Linked DNA regions of Oryzias latipes. The protein of the gene in region 1 purifies or fractionates together with the protein of each later gene. This does not show direct contact. Links are inferred from orthologs where the notes say so. Each region holds a gene or a part of one and is shown in the gene's direction. Other genes may lie near its edges.

Region 1 (5,715 bases):
TAGCTGTTTTATAATTTATTTAGGTTAAAACAAATTCATCAATGTTTTAGCAGGACTACAACATATAGATGCTAGAATTAGCAAAAGAGCTCATTTATTTCTGTATTCGAAAGGCAGGTGAAGGAGATCCGTCCAAACCACTGACCTCATTGAAGAGTAAACATTACAGATTAAGACATGAAACATAGAATAGCACAAAGTAGACAAATCCACACAAACCATTTCTCTGTAGATGTCTATCAGATTTGGCTTCTTTGAACCAGCAGGTAACTCTTGTTTGGAACCGCAGGGGGACGAGTCACTCAGTCCAGTTTTCATACAGTCAGTTGTTCATAGGTAGATAGGTTGGTTGGTTGATTGATTGATTTGGTTTGGTTTCTTTCAAGTATTAATTGTAGTCAATACAAGAGAAAAATCACACGGATGTATCAAACTCCTTACAGAGATAATCAACTGCATAGATTCAAACAAACAAACAAACAGAAACAAAGACACACTTAAGACACATTTAAATATAGTGATTATTAACTAAATAGTCAAGTAGAAAGTGATTTAGTGCTAGGAAAAAAAGGAGTTGGAAAAAGCAAATTCATATAATCTCACTCCTATTGAGTTATTTTGTGTGAGAGTTTTGCAGTTTTGGATGATAACGCTCCACCACATGCTGCCAGAATGATCACAACCAGTCTCTAGGCTCATATGGTCTGACCAGCAATGACCCTTGACCTGAACCCCATAGAGCAGGTCTGGGACCAGCTGAAGCAGAGACTCTTTTGTAATAAAATTAAGGGTATTATATTAGTTTAATCTGTGTTCCCCCACACTTCAATACAAAATGTAAAGTACGGTAAAACCAAAGAGCAATATAACACATGCACACTCTGACATGGTAAAATATACTTGGATTTGTTCAAAACAAAAAGGGTCTTGGTTACTTTATTTTTTACATAAAATATGAGATTTCCATGTTCATTTGTCATCCAACATAACCCCTAAAATTTAAATTCAGACACCTGCTCTATATTTATGTTGTCAATGGATAAAGCCACTTCTGTTTTTTCTTTATTACCAAATACCATAAACTTTGTTTTTGTTAATTATAATCAAACCACATTTTAAGTTTCATTTCCTTTTTAACACTTTTAAGTTAGGGTTTTAGATTATCCCTGAACAGAGAAATTTGTCTTCATGTCCAAATAAAACAAACTGCAACAACTTAGAAATACCCCAAACATTTATAATTGAACCTTGTGGAAGTCCACAAATAATATTCATGAGATCAGACTTATTACCTCCAAACTGCACATACTGTATTGTCTGTTTTGTAAATAACTGGTGGGCGATTGCTCTAACCCCATACGCATGCAGTTTAGAAATCGAGATAGAATGATCTATGGTGTCAAATTCCTTCTTTAAATCAATGATAACTTTTAATGTATTTTTCTTTTTGTCAATTGCTGTTGAAATTTCTTCAACTACTTTCATTGTAGCAAAACCTGTAGACCTATTAGAACCAAACCCATAGTGATTCTCACTTAACAAGTTATTTATTTTTTTAACAAAAAAATAAACTTTTAACAATGTCAAAGGAAACTTATATTTATTTCAATAAAATTCAGAGCAAAATGGGAAAAATCACATGGAAATCACATTGTCAATAATAAACTCATTGGACGGCGTCCTGACGTCATCACGTAAGTTACGTCAAAAGACGTACGTTCACGCGGCGGTCCCCCCCGCCATTTTATATTTTCAACAGGCCGAGCAGCCGCAGTACGCAGCCAGCTATCTCCACGTTGTTTTCAGCTCCATTTCCAGCATTTTTATCTTCACGGAGTCTCTTTTTGGCGGTTCTACGTTGAGCCACCGAACCCGCGGACAGTCCCGCTCCTCCTTCAGGTCCATGAACTAAAAGCTGCTGGACTCTGGAGGAGAGAAGGTGAGTGTAAGGGCGCAGTTAGTGGTTAGCTCCATGCTAACGGGAGCGCTACATCCCACGAGCGGAGCAGACGCCTCCGGCTGCCTCCGGACGGCCAAACTCTTAACTTGTACGCAGACCATAACGTGTACTACTGTGGGAGGGGGTTCCTGATGTTCTACTTCTGGATGCATGAAATGCGTTGAACGCGTCCCCCGTCCTGTGGGGAAGTGAACAATAAGCGCGTGAAGCTAGCTAGCTAGTACGGGTATTACGGCTAGCTAGCTAGCTAGCTAGCTGCCCTGACAGCTAGTTTCGCTGCTTCATTGTGTTGCGGCAGATCCGTGTCTGATATCATGCATGTTTTCCTTATCGATCAAGTGAAAGATGACGCAGTTCCTCCCGCCGAACCTGTTGGCCCTGTTCGCCCCCCGGGACCCGATTCCGTTCCTGCCTCAGCTGGAGAAGCTGCCCCACGAGAAGCATCACAACCAGCCGTACAGCGGCATCGCCCCCTTCATCAGACACTTCGAGGTGAGCGTCGCTGTCACGTGCGAGCCTCCGTCCCCCCGATGCCTCTGTCTCACCTTCCTACTGTTTCCCACCAGGATCCTAGAGATGCCCCCCCACCAACCAGAGCCGAGACCCGCGAGGAACGCCTGGAGAGAAAGGTGAGTTTCCTCCCCCCTTTGCACATGTGCTCAAATACAGAACCTGATGGATAAATAAACGGTTTATCTCTGCTTTCATCCAGAAGATTTCATATTTGCGTTTGTTTTGCTTTATGGCAGCTGGCAGTAGCACAGATTCTGTCACATCAACCCAATGAATCATGGGAGATGTAGTAAACTCTGTGACACTGATGCAAATCTCCGGGCTTCATTATTGGATGCACTTTTTACACGGTCTGACACCGGATCCTGCTTGAAGCTACACTTCCACCATTGTTAGCTGGTATTTTGTCAGGGTGAGGAACTGGGGGTGTTTTACAAACTTTTTCCAAAATAAGAGCCATTGGCCTAAGTTGCTGCACAGTAGTGGTGCAGACATTTTTTTTAATCAAAGTGTCTTAAATAGGAAGTAAAAGTCTTCTGTGATCTGTAGTACTCCCAACTGAAACCTGGGCGTATTTCGATGAACGTAGAGCTAATATTCTGGCGATGGAAAATGTTTTTTTTTTTAGAACAAATAGGTGAAATTGAGTAATTTCTCATGGCACACTCAACCATCTCTTTACTATATAAACCTCTAACCTGATCCTGTCTGTGCTGCAGCGTCCACCAGTCGTTACTGTTTGGATCTCTGATTGTGCTGCGTAGATAACGATGGAAGGCATGTATACAGAAAATTAGGATTAAAATTGCATTTGTTAGTATTGTTGTTTGAGAAACTCAACGCCTGGATAGCTCCTTTATCGCTCGCCATTTTTGTTGCACAGATAATGTTATGTTGGGGTTGTAACGTTTCAGTTGAGCGTCTTGAGCCATAAAGGAAATTTATTTGTGAACTTGTGAATTGACTGAAGCAGGAGTTTGGCTGTGAAGCACAGACCTAATGAATGCAGATTCTCAAAGGAGGGGTAGTTGAATTACAGTCCTAACTCCTTCATTCAGCATTTTCTGCCTCGGTGAAAACCTCTCAAGTCTATAGAAATATTATACCAGGCAGGAGCCCAGCACAGGTGCATGCTGGCAGCAGACAAGAAACCAAGTGCGGGATTATGTCAGCTCTGTGCTGATGCTCTGCTGTTGGAGGCTCTGCGGTTGGCCGTCACCATTTTCTTTTCTGTTTCCAGAGGAGAGAGAAGATTGAGAGGCGACAGGGAGAAGTGGAGACAGAACTGAAGCTCTGTGAGTTTGTCACTTTCTTCACGCCGTTCTCCTCAAACGGTGAAAAGCTTTGTGCTCATCCTTCCTGTTTGTTCCATGTCAGGGGACCCCCATAATGACCCCAATGCTCAGGGGGATGCCTTCAAGACTCTGTTTGTGGCACGAGTGGTGAGTATTTGTCTTGGTTCTTCTCACTCCTTGTTCACATCTGGTAATTAAAACCTTTTTGTTTCAGAATTATGATACGACAGAGTCCAAACTTCGCCGTGAGTTTGAAGTCTATGGCCCCATTAAACGGGTAGCTATTGATTATTATTTTTCTGTGTCCAGATTTTCTTCAAAACATGAACCCTTTTGTCTTTACAATGTGAGAAAATTCTCCTGGCTCTTCAAAATACTATAAAAAAAAGTAAAGAGCCGTGCGTGAAGCGTTTTGGCGCCGCTTTGTGCGTGTCGTCGTGCGCTGACTGCATGTCTGCTGCCTCCGCTCTGCCGAGTCTCACCAGGAGTTTTTCTTTTCAGATTTACATCGTCTACAACAAGGGAACAGGGAAGCCCCGCGGCTACGCCTTCATAGAGTATGAGCACGAGCGAGACATGCACTGTGAGTACGGCTGAGGCATCGGCCACCAAAGCCAGTCTGTGTTGGTGTGTGTGGATCAGAGCACTGCTCGTCACTGATGCTTCTGTAAGGAGACCAGCAAACTGAGCTCTGCTCACCAGATCCATGTCTGCTGCTCGTCTGACGTGTGTGTGTGTGTGTGTGGGGGGGGGGGTCTGCTCGATGTGTCGCCGGTGGACTAACAGTTGCGTTTAAAGGGGGGAGGAGTCATTTATTGGAGGCGTCGGGGTGGAGTAACAGAAATGTTTGATCTGTGAACCTGAACATGTTTGCTTGTCAAAGGGCACATTGTCTTTAAGTGTGAGGAGTTGTAGTTCAGTGGAAGAGCCGCTCTCCCGGTGGGACTGTGATGGTAAGCTCAAGGTGGACACCAAACACGGAGCAGGCTTTCTGCCAATCACTCGTCACCTTTAATCATTCAGTCTTGAGTTTGTCTGTCAGTTTGAGTGGTGGTCTTCAACCCTGGTCATGTTGGAATAAGAATTCTCCTGATCCGGATGCCACCAAATGTAAACATAGTCCAGACTCGACCCAATGCTTGAGTTTTGCTTCCTGGTCTGGTTCACACAGAGCCTGCAGGTCTGACCTGGTGACCTATGCTGACCTTTGGTGCAGGCGAGACATCGTCTGCACCAAAGGTCAGCCCAGATCCTGTTCTGCTTTAGACCAGAACAGCAAAAGACTAGACTGAGGGGAAAACTGGAGGTTCTAGATTCTGCTCATGGGGCAGCAGTCAAAAGGCAAAATGGTTTTATTGGTATTCAGAGCAGAAAGTTCTGTGGTAGTTTGGAACTGTGTTTGGAAGAAGGCTGCTGAGTTTTCACACATGCATGAATAGTCTTATGTTTTTGGAGCTTCAATGATAAAAACTGTCATGATTGGATCCGGCAAATTCTGTGAAATTTGGAACCTCTTCAGGGCTTTCACTTCTGCCTAGCTGTGACTGTTAAGCAACAGTTCAGTCTTTGGTTTTGCTGACGAGGTGCTTTTTCATGCCGTCTATGTTCAACTGCGACTTTTTAAAAATGATGCCATTCACGTGCGAAGTTAACAGCTTAAAAAAACAACAAAACAGCAGATATTTCCTTTCCTACCAAACACAAAACATCAGCGAGGCAAGCAAAGAGAAAAGGACCTGCAGGTTGAATCTCCAGTCTGTCTTAAGTAGATGTGTGCCACGACGTTCAATAACTTATTGAGCTCTTTCCAGAGCTTAGTTCCATCAGCGTCTTTTGCATCGCTGCTGGAACCAGCAGGAGTCTGACCGGCTTCTCTGTGAACGTGCTCTCTGGGTCGGGAAAGATGCTCCCTGGTTGGGGGCTGCAAGATTCCATGTGAATGAAGCG
Region 2 (5,214 bases), on another chromosome or scaffold:
AACGTATCTTCTGAGAGAGTGAAACTGTGCATTACTTGTTTGTTTAGTCTGTTCTGCAAGATGCTGTGGTTTGTGACCTGTCCTTCCACCCTAAGTTACATGGTGTCACGGTGCTGACCGTCCTCACTTGACTGCTGTCAGTTTTATAGATGAGGTTAGCAGTCTGAGTAATCTCCGCTGAACTCACAAACACACCAGTCTGACATAGTGTGACTTTAGTGTAAAAACGTCTTTCTGAGGTCTTGGAACATCAGTGCACAATTGTGGTGTAAGATTTGAGTACAAGGTACTTTAGTCTTGGACCTTGAGAAGTCCCAGTTTGGGGAAATGTTCTCCTTTGAACATTCATATGTTTTGAAGCCACAGCGGGATGCTTGAAAGCATCAAACGACACATCCTCAAAGCTGCTTGTTCTGTCTGTGTACAGATGTTCTTTGTATTTTGTCTGATGCTGTTGCTGAATTTAATCAGATAAAGGATTGTTTACCCAAATAGGGCTTAAAAATAGGGATAAATCAAAAGTTTAAACCAAGGATGCTGAAAGGCTTGCAGCAGAGAGGTACACTTTTAATCAACCACAGCAAAACCCAGTTCCTGCTTTCAAAGGTTTAAGAAAATTTGTCGAAAATCTCTTGTTTCTCTGTCCTTGAGGGATGCATCTAAGACCCATGGCTGTCCTCAATATTTACATAATAAGGAATAACTTCACAAACTTCTGGTCTTCTTGGTGAACCCAAAATAGTTCCTTTAAAAGTCTGAACTGAGTACTAGACCTTGAGGAACAAAACAACAGCAAATAAACTATATATTATTCTAGACGATGCCGTTATTTTTTTAATTTTAATAAGAATATTTGTCCATTTCAAGAACCAGTAACTTCCTTATAAAATATTTTTTGCCATTATGGCAAACTTAAGTCAGACATTTAGATTTCATTTAAATCCAAATAAAAAAAAATATTTGACACGTTGCTACATCCTCAATGAAAAGTGTAAAATGTAGTCAGTTGCAGACAACAGAGATGAACTGGTTTCTCTTGTTCAATTTTCAAATTCCTTTGCAGCTTTTACAGCCACAAAATGTTCCTTTTTATAGAGGAAGCACTCCCAAACCTCATGTGTTAATACTTAACCATGAACGCATCCCCTACAGGCTCTAAAATAACGAGAATTGTTTAATAGAATCAGCTTCTGTTGTTTATCTGCATCCATGTATTTTTTTTTTTTTTACCCTTCAAGGTTTTAAAACAGCTGGGCATCCTGCTGAAGCTCAGATGTTTGGGATTCTGTTGGATACCAAATAATACCAATAATAACAATAATAATAATAATAATACGAAACTGCTGAATTTAAGTTTAATGAAATGTATTTATCATTTTTTCATTACAAAATTATAATAACTTGAGATTTGTGAAGGTTTGAAAACAGAAGCGCTACACTGCCACCTACTGGTAGGATTGTCACATTGGTCTTGTAATTTTTTCTTATCTTCACCATAAAATGTGTTGTTTAAATGTGTTTTGACAAGTTTCTATCATAGTAAAGCTTGCTTTCCAATTCAAAACATTAAAAAGAAATGTAGAATCAACATGTTTTTATATGTTTTATATTCCCACTAAACCTAACTTAATAGTTGAAAATTGAGCTATGACTATCAATAAAAATTTAAGAACATATTATTGGTTAGTGTGCATTTTTCAGACATATTTTACCGTCATGGTTATTTAATTCTTAAAGATTACAACGGCTCTGGTTTTTGTTGTGCGCCCTCCTGGTCGTTAGGTGGCGACACTTTCAGCCTCACCATGGTCATATCCTGCTCACGTCGTGAAGAGGACACTCTTAAACCAATATGGCGGCCCGCCGGCTAACATGTTTGGGGTTAAATGCCGTTTATTCTACAGTCTTCTCACCAAATCAGGTAAAGGTCACGTATTAACGTTTTGACCTATGTTTTTTTTTTTTTTTTGTAAAATCGCCCCATGTAGTTTCAAATAAAGGGTGCAAAAACTCTTTTTGACCTGGACTATGTTAGCTAACTCGGAGACATAAAATTGCTGCGAAATTTAACTTTAATAATAAATTCCTTTACTGTTCAAATTGTGTTGAGGAGGATAGACAGTAATTGAGAGTAACTTTATCTTAAAACTGTTGTAGAATAGAGACTGACATTTTTGTATAAAGTTAACATATTGTGAACATCGACTGACATTATTATGACCTCTCCCTTTGCTGCGTTTTCTGCAGACGGTACAGGCAGCTCTCATTACATTTCTGATAAACCAATTAGTCAGAGCCTGCGTTTGCATCAGGGTTCGACATTGACTTATCCGACATTATGACAAACATGATTAAAAAAAACACGTTAAGAACATTTATGGAAAAAGTAGAGATATTTGTATTCATTAAACCAATGATGAAGCAGTGAACCAAATACACTTCTCTCTGTCAGTGGTCAATTTGTAATACTAAATTTTATATTCTTGGTCTTAAAAAGCCTAAAACATTTACATTTTTTTAATCTTTTACATTACTGTTTTTTTAAAGATGGTCCGATTTACATGACCTACTATCTTGTTTTGGTGTACTCTATAAGCTGCTATAACAGTGTTAGTTTAACTGTGCCAAAGCAATAAAAAAAGAGATTATTGGACCACTTGTTTCAAGCCCGCAAAATGAGAAGGAATTATTTTTAAACTGATGATCGCAAACAGACTTCTTTTACAATATTTTGTCAAGCACCTCTTGCATTACAGAACTAAGATCAAGTGAAAACTTAAAACCAGAGAAAATAGATTGCAAATGTGTGGTAAATGGAGAGAAACCTGTCAGAAACTTGATGTGTGTTGTGTGCAGGCACTAAGAAGCTGCTGGGGAGCTGTGGAGCAGATGAGAAGCTATTATGTTGACTGGAGGATGCTGAGGGACGTCAAAAGAAGACAGATGGCCTTCGATTATGCAGATGAAAGGCTACGGATCAATGCATTAAGAAAGAATACTATCCTGCCTAAAGAGCTTCAGGTAGGCTCCAGCTTCCTATTTACAACTAGTTCCTCATTGTGCCACACCATAAGTTTGACAGTATGCTCTTATTATTTAAAGAGTCACGATTTTACAAAAGTTCTAGTTGCACACACAATATATGTCAAACAGCTGAAAGTACACCAGTAGCGGACAATCCCTAAACCCTGTCTAATTGTCTTCATAGGAGATAGCAGACAAAGAAATTGCAGCACTCCCGAGAGATAGCTGCCCTGTGAGGATACGCAACAGGTGTGTGATGACTTCCCGGCCCCGAGGAGTGAAGCGGAGGTGGCGACTGAGTCGAATTGTATTCCGACACCTAGCTGACCACAACCAGATGTCAGGGATTCTCAGGGCAAGGTGGTGAATGTGGTCTATTGGATTCGTCTGTAAGATTGTGTGTTAACAAAGCAATGCAGGTTGCAGATTTCTAGAATGTTGTGTGAACTTAAAGAAGTAATGCAAATATTGAGTATTTAAGCTCGACTAAGAGTAAAAAAAAACAAAACATAATAAATATTGTTGTACAAAAGTGTCCTGTTTTTTTTTTCCTTCTTTTTTATGTGGTGGTAATAAACACAAACACTGTGTTTATTGTGGAGAAAAATGCTTCTGAATGATCTACTGATGTGAAAAGTTAAAGCCATCATTAAGCATTCATGTGCTGTGTAATTTTCAACACGGCTGTTTGAAGCTTCACAGTGTTATTAAAGGATTAATTTATGGTGTTTAATTTGAACATGATGGTATTTCTAAAAAAAAATAAATAAAGTGTCCCAGTGATACAAGTTGCTAAATGTTTTTGTTGTCAGGTCATATACTCACCCTAAATAGAAATAGCTGCTTTAAAATAAAATAAAAAATAACTCGTGAGTATAAATATTGCCACTAGTAATTTACAGTACGTAAAATCTGCTAAATTTAAAATAAATATATCTTACTGTTGTGTATTGTTCTGATCTTACTTATTCCAACCACTGGGTGGCAGTAATGAGATTAAAGGAACTTTTAACAGCAGGAAATAATTCTAAAGAGGGCCAAACCAAATTGTTAGAACTCCTCACTGCGAAGAGCTGTGCTGCTTGACAAAACTGAGTGGAATTTGAAGAACCAGAATGGATCTAACGGAACAGGTAAGAAACATGTCTTGGCCAAAGTATTATTTTAGAAGAAAAAATCATTGTCTATTTGGATGAGTTTGTTAAATTTACGTCGGTCTCAATAGTTGGGCGATGTGTTGTGTTAGCTGTCGGTTAGCCGCTTGCCCTTAACGGATTTTTTTGTATGCTTTGCTTTGTTTCTTTCTGTCTGTATATTTTTTTAGACGATTGTTTGAAAAGCTTGTTTAGTTTGTCACAGTGACAAACGTTGAGGGCGAGAAAAGTCCCTGTGATGATTGACGTTCAGTTGTGCTCATGAAGTTTACTAGAACCTTCTAGCAACATCACGCTCGCGGGTTCTGCGCTACACTTCCTTCGGAGTTGCTTTATAGCATTTTAAATGATAGAAAAACGATTGAAAGCGACAATATCTCAATTCCTATTGGATGCTATTGAATATCCTTACTCGTAAATGTTGAGGTTTATTTTATTATATGTCGTGATAATTAAACTTAAGTCATAATAGAGCCATGCTTTGCTTTGGTTTTTATATTTTGATTAAAATCATGTGAGTTTTGCTTTTAATTAATGCTTTTTTATGTTTTTAGGTGAATTTCTTAATCATGTCTTTGCATAAATGTGTTTAATCGAACAGTGTACGTTAAAACATTTCCATAAGGGACTTGCAGATCTCATCATTAGCAGTTCACACATTTGAATTGGTTCTTAACTGACTTAAGTAAAGGTTAGATGTAGAATTTCCAGTCAGGAAAATGAAACTTTTAAATTGTACTGTTTTAGAAGAAGCTATATATAAGTTAAATAAATAAATAAAACAGACTTGATACAAATAGTTTGCTTCATCAAGATCAGCTTGTGCAGTGGTTGTTCCTCATTTTTCTAACAGATCAGTCAGCTGGAAGCAGACTTGCAGGAGCTTAGTTCCCTCCTGGAGAAGTCTGAGAGGAAAAGGGTGCAGGAGCTGCTGAAACAGGAGCAGAGGAAAGTGGAAAAAGAGCTTGCAACGAAACGACATCAGCAGGAGCAGCAGGCTAAGAGAGAAGCCGATCCAACAGCAGGCTCTAAAGCA
Region 3 (5,734 bases), on another chromosome or scaffold:
TATGTGGGTACCATCACATAGGTGGTGGAGGGAAATGAAATAGCTGATTTTTGTGCAAAGCAGGCGTTGAAACGGTGCGTGGAGATAGAAATTTCGTTGTTAAAAGGCGTATTATAGAAGACTGGCAGAAACAATGTGAAAGGGAGTGGAAAGAACAACATCTATTCAGTATACAAGACAAAGTAGGGAAACGTATCCATCTTACATCAAACACCAGAGATCAAATAGAAACAGAAAATATCTTTATTGTCATTGTACATGTATAACGAAATTACAGTGCAATTTCTTCCGGTGGAATAAAAAAAAAAAAGTCAAATAAAAATAAACTAAAACTGCGAAACAAGACAATATAAGATAAAAAAAATGTATTAAAAATTTACAAAAATATAAAAAGGAGGTTACATGTTGTCAAGGTATTGCACGCTTCCCTAATAAATTAACTTTATTTAGCAGCGTTTAAGGCCACGATGGCTCTCGGATAAAAGCTATTTTTTAATCTGTTTGTCCTTGTTTTAATTGTCCTGTATCTTCTGCCCGAAGGCAGCAGCCGTTCAAATCATGATATCACGATCATGGATGGGACACACGGCTTTAAATACTACACTAGATTTACTAGGGAAACATCCCACTGGACTGTGTGAATGCGGGAAAGGGGAAGAATCAGTGGAGCACATTTTGTGTTGCTGAATTATATTGGGAAGAAAGGTGGCAGCTGGAGGATAGTGTACCATTGCCAGAGGAAGAGGGGTAGAGTTTGATGAGGCTTTTGGGAGGGGGGCAGAATTTCAATGTTGGTCTATTGAGGAGAATATAGGGTTTTTTGTTGTCTTTGTAGTCTTTGTAGTTGTCTTTTAGACCAGTTGTACCCCACTCCGACTCACACTCCAAGTAGGTGGCGACATTGCACCAGGTCGTTTGTGCCTCCCGCTATTAAGACCACAAGAAGAAGAAGGAGAAGAAGTTCTGCGCTAGAGGGCGCTGCTTCGTTTCTATTTCAGTTTTTCTCATCGTTTGACACCGGAAGAGGAAGACGATCGCTGTATGTTGTGCGCTCGTGCTAGCAGCAGAAGCATTGTTACGTAGGTGAAACGCTTTTTCGTGCGTGAAACTTGTAAAGACTTTGAAAGCTGGTTTATGTGTAAAGTCTGAACACCGTACCAATGCTCAGAGTTTTACCGTGAAGAAAGCAGAGCAAACTCAACTCCGTGGACCCGGCGGCCTGATTCAGAACGTGTGGTCAGACGACGTTGAAAGAACGGCTCCACCATGGCGGATGTTACCGCTCGTAGCCTGCAGTATGAGTACAAAGCGGTGAGTGAGGAATTCAACTAAGTTTCTGAAAATCTGTTTACATACTGACATGGAACAAATCAAGTCATTTAATATTTTTATTTTTATCTCGCCATCATGCGCGTGTAGCCGCTTCCTCGGTTAGCCACGACACTTTGCGCCAAAGAAAAACAATATATGACATGTTTCTAAATAAAATACGCTTACTGAAAAATTATCAATTTATGGAATAAACAAAGCAAAGTTACACTGCGAATGGCGTAACACTTCAAAAGTTAGTTTCCTTTTAACATTGTGGATAAACATCTGCGAATCGATACTTTCCTCGTCATCTAGATTTTTATTTAATGCAAACTATGATTTCGTACCCCCATAACTTTCTTAAAAATATATAGTTTAAATCATTTAAAAGGAAGATAATCCCAGTATTATTGTTGTTTCTATAAACAAATGTAGGAGGAGGAAACTGACTCGCTTATTTATTTGAGGTTGTGTGTATATTATGTGTATATAGTGTGTATGTCTTTTCACAACTTTGACTTTTGTTTTCTTTTTCAAATTGCTACTACCTGTAATACTTGAGGCATAATTAAAAGTATTTAGCAGGATTCTTAATTCATGAATTAAAAAAGGGGATAAATACAGTTGAAAGGGCTAAAGGGATTGTCTATTGCTGTACTGATAAATCACACCTTTTTTTTTCACCTTTTTTTTTTAACCTGGTAGAACTCAAACTTGGTGTTGCAAGCGGATCGCTCTTTGATTGACCGCACACGGAGAGATGAGCCCACCGGAGAGGTGCTGTCCCTGGTGGGGAAGCTGGAGGGGACCAAGATGGGTGACAAGGCTCAGAGGACCAGACCTCAGAACCTGGAAGACAGAAGAAACAAGTCAGTTCAGAATAACGCACACCAGGTTTTAGTTTACATTTGGCCGTGGCACTGTTGGCACCATAGGGTGCTTTGTCAAGCTGACAGTTGAGAATTTCAAGTAGAAAATGCTTTAGTTCTTGTGCAAAATGGTTAAACATAGATGAGATGGTTTGTATGATACTGTTGAAATAATTTACTAAATTTAATATTTTCATCTTGTTGGTGCATCAAAATTTGTTGAACTTGTTGTATTAAGATGTATTCATGTTAAAAGTAAAACACGCTAACTGGTTTTTTCCTTGTGCTGTTAACTTAGGAGACGAAAAAGAGATGAGGACAGGCATGACATCAACAAAATGAAAGGTTTTACCCTTCTGTCTGAAGGCATTGATGAAATGGTGGGCATTGTGTACAAGCCTAAAACCAAAGAAACCAGAGAGACTTATGAAGTGCTGCTAAGCTTCATCCATGCAGCTCTAGGAGATCAGGTGAGCCAATCAAATGTGGGCTCTTGTTCAAAATTGTGTTAAGTGCTGAAAGCTGATGTCCTGCCCCCCCTGTGCTGTTGTCTGCAGCCACGTGACATTTTGTGTGGAGCAGCTGATGAGGTACTAGCGGTACTGAAAAATGACAAAATCAGGGATAAAGAAAGGCGACGTGAAGTGGAGCAGCTTCTGGGACCTTCAGATGACACACGGTATCATGTGTTGGTCAATCTTGGAAAGAAGATCACAGACTATGGGGGAGACAAGGAATTGCAGAATATGGGTAACTTTTTGTGCATAAGATCTGTCACGTTTGTCTCTGAATCGATGGGTGTGCGTAACTGAAATAATCTGAACCCTTTGTTGTTTCTCCACAGATGACAACATTGATGATACGTATGGTGTCAATGTACAGTTTGAATCTGATGAGGAGGTGAGCTTTTTTTTGTCTTAAATTGATGGTTGTTCAACCAATTAAAGCTCAGCAATTATCAAATATTTTCTTGACTGAATTTTGATGAAAAGTTTGTATTCAGTCTTTGGGTTTCACAGTTTGAACCAGTTCCTGATCTTTACTTATTTTGTAGGAAGGGGATGAAAACCCGTTTGGTGAAGTGCAAGACGAGCAATCCGATGAAGACAGTGAGGGAGAGGAGGCGGTTGTGACCACCACACTCTCTGCCAATGTCAGTGGAACAGCTGCATCCTCGTCTTTTCCAGTGTCACATCTTCTCATTTGTTTCTCTAAAATCGCTTTTTCTTCATGTAGCTCGGCGAAACAGGTGACGTGATGACGGTGAAGAAAAAAGATTTACATCCTCGGGACATCGATGCCTTCTGGCTCCAGCGTCAACTCAGCCGTTTCTATGACGATGCCATCGTGTCACAGAAGAAAGCGGACGAAGTCTTAGAAATCCTCAAAGTATGTTTACCGCCTTGCCTGCTCACAGTAGATTCTCTAATCATTCCCAGGTGCGTTGATGTCTCCTTTTTGTGTCACAGACAGCCAGTGATGACAGAGAATGTGAGAACCAGCTGGTGTTGCTGTTGGGTTTCAACACTTTTGATTTCATTAAAATCCTCCGTCAGCATCGGCGCATGAGTAAGAGAAATGATCTAAATCAGATTCATTTTCTGTTTTTTGTTTTTGTATGTTTGTTTGTTTATAGCTGCTTTTTCCATCTCTAACCCACAGTTCAGTATTGTACAATGCTAGCAAGCGCTCAGAGTGAGGCAGAAAAGGAGAGGATCATTGGAAAGATGGAGTCTGATCCGGAGCTGTCAAAGATTCTCTACAAGCTGCAAGAGACGGAAAAGGAGGACATCATTCGAGTTAGATTTGTTGTTTGTTAAAGAAACATTTAGTCTTTTGGTTTGTATAATAAAAGTAATATTTTTTTATTAGGAAGAACAATCTCGTAGAGAGCGAGTGAGGAAGTCTCGTGTTGATGACTTGGAAGCGATGGACACTGACCATGGAGAGGTAAATTGTACAAGGAGTCAGCAGTTGGAATCTTTCACTGCCTTTTATCACTTTATATGTATATAAGAAGTTACGTTGGTTTGTTTTCTCTGAAGATGCCATCAAGAGTTTCGTGTTGTTCTTGTTTCCTGCAGTCAGTGATGCCTCGACAGATTTTGGACCTGGAAGACCTGACCTTCACCCAGGGGAGTCATTTCATGGCTAACAAACGCTGCCAGCTCCCAGACGGCTCTTTTCGCAAACAGCGCAAAGGTTATGAAGAAGTTCACGTTCCCGCCCTGAAACCCAAAGCTTTCGCTGACAACGAGGTTCGTCTGTTGCGTCTTTTGTTGTTAAGTACAAAACTTTCATCTTTTAAACGCAGCAGTGTCTGAAATTTTGGTTGCTTATCTTTCATCAGGTACTTGTTTCCATCGACAAGTTGCCCAAGTATGCTCAGGCTGGGTTTGAAGGTTTCAAAACTCTAAATCGAATCCAGAGTAAACTGTTCAAGTCTGCAATGGACACAGACGAAAACCTTCTAGTGTGTGCTCCCACGGTGAGTGAGCCCTGCACAAGCCAAAGGCGGCGGGAAAGTCATCCTGAACTCCGTTGTCAACATTAATCCTGGTATTGTTTTGTGTACAGGGAGCTGGTAAGACCAATGTTGCCCTAATGGCAATGTTAAGAGAAATTGGAAAGCATATAAACATGGACGGCACGATCAACGTGGACGATTTCAAAATCATCTACATTGCACCCATGCGCTCGCTTGTACAAGAGATGGTGGGAAGTTTTAGTAAGGTAAGCTGCATGCCCTTCCTTAAAAGCGTTGATTTCATGCATCAAGGAGTATCGCAAGCTTCAGGAGAGGGTTTTAGAGGTGACGGCTTTCCTTTTTTGCAGCGATTGGCAAGTTACGGCATCACCGTGTCTGAGCTGACAGGAGACCACCAACTCTGTAAAGAGGAGATCAACGCCACTCAGATCATTGTCTGCACCCCAGAAAAGTGGGATATCATTACTCGGAAAGGGGGAGAACGTACTTACACTCAGCTAGTGCGCCTCATCATCATTGTAAGTTGATTTAGAAAGGTATTATTCATTTCATTTTTGACAATCAGAATAACCAAAATAATTCGATATAGGATGAAATTCACCTGCTGCACGATGACCGTGGTCCTGTGCTGGAATCCCTGATCGCAAGGACCATTCGCAATGTGGAGCTGACCCAAGACGATGTCCGCCTGTTGGGTCTCAGTGCCACACTACCCAACTACGAAGATGTGGCAACGTGCCTGCGCGTGGATCCTGCAAAGGGACTGTTCTACTTTGACAACAGGTTTGTTTCAAAGCAGAAACTGCATGTGTGTGTATTCTCTTAACTCAATTCTTGTGCTTTTTTATTTTTGTTTGTAGTTTCCGCCCTGTGCCCCTGGAGCAGACTTATGTTGGCATCACAGAGAAGAAAGCCATCAAGCGTTTCCAGATCATGAACGAGATTGTTTATGAAAAAATCATGGAGCATGCTGGGAAGAACCAGGTGCGCCTTTCTGTTTGTTTTTTGTCATTGAGACAAACATTTTAATCTGAAATTCCTTTAAATCCTGGCTCCAATTTATCAC

Evidence for each region.
Region 2: the proteins of snrnp70 (region 1) and mrps14 purify together in Homo sapiens (affinity purification with mass spectrometry; 3 studies listed by BioGRID and IntAct, with this or other methods). This does not show direct contact. The link is inferred for Oryzias latipes from reciprocal best matches to the Homo sapiens genes SNRNP70 and MRPS14.
Region 3: the proteins of snrnp70 (region 1) and snrnp200 fractionate together in Homo sapiens (co-fractionation; 3 studies listed by BioGRID, with this or other methods). This does not show direct contact. The link is inferred for Oryzias latipes from reciprocal best matches to the Homo sapiens genes SNRNP70 and SNRNP200.

The regions. Positions count from the first base shown.
Region 1 is NC_019866.2:24,779,563-24,785,277, forward strand, and holds the start of snrnp70 (U1 small nuclear ribonucleoprotein 70 kDa), read left to right. Parts: upstream 1-1,734; 5' UTR 1,735-1,939; intron 1,940-2,299; 5' UTR 2,300-2,305; coding exon 2,306-2,452; intron 2,453-2,526; coding exon 2,527-2,589; intron 2,590-3,713; coding exon 3,714-3,768; intron 3,769-3,850; coding exon 3,851-3,915; intron 3,916-3,982; coding exon 3,983-4,045; intron 4,046-4,269; coding exon 4,270-4,351; intron 4,352-5,715. UniProt on the Homo sapiens protein: Component of the spliceosomal U1 snRNP, which is essential for recognition of the pre-mRNA 5' splice-site and the subsequent assembly of the spliceosome. SNRNP70 binds to the loop I region of U1-snRNA.
Region 2 is NC_019875.2:24,411,807-24,417,020, reverse strand, and holds mrps14 (28S ribosomal protein S14, mitochondrial), read left to right. Parts: upstream 1-1,798; 5' UTR 1,799-1,852; coding exon 1,853-1,921; intron 1,922-2,856; coding exon 2,857-3,021; intron 3,022-3,208; coding exon 3,209-3,391; 3' UTR 3,392-3,559; downstream 3,560-5,214. Other genes in the region: cacybp (calcyclin-binding protein), read left to right, coding at 4,140-4,157, 5,032-5,214.
Region 3 is NC_019867.2:18,374,881-18,380,614, reverse strand, and holds the start of snrnp200 (U5 small nuclear ribonucleoprotein 200 kDa helicase), read left to right. Parts: upstream 1-1,266; coding exon 1,267-1,311; intron 1,312-2,016; coding exon 2,017-2,180; intron 2,181-2,478; coding exon 2,479-2,650; intron 2,651-2,737; coding exon 2,738-2,930; intron 2,931-3,024; coding exon 3,025-3,080; intron 3,081-3,234; coding exon 3,235-3,333; intron 3,334-3,416; coding exon 3,417-3,569; intron 3,570-3,649; coding exon 3,650-3,749; intron 3,750-3,842; coding exon 3,843-3,979; intron 3,980-4,052; coding exon 4,053-4,130; intron 4,131-4,264; coding exon 4,265-4,438; intron 4,439-4,530; coding exon 4,531-4,668; intron 4,669-4,757; coding exon 4,758-4,913; intron 4,914-5,015; coding exon 5,016-5,186; intron 5,187-5,257; coding exon 5,258-5,451; intron 5,452-5,528; coding exon 5,529-5,652; intron 5,653-5,734. UniProt on the Homo sapiens protein: Catalyzes the ATP-dependent unwinding of U4/U6 RNA duplices, an essential step in the assembly of a catalytically active spliceosome. Plays a role in pre-mRNA splicing as a core component of precatalytic, catalytic and postcatalytic spliceosomal complexes.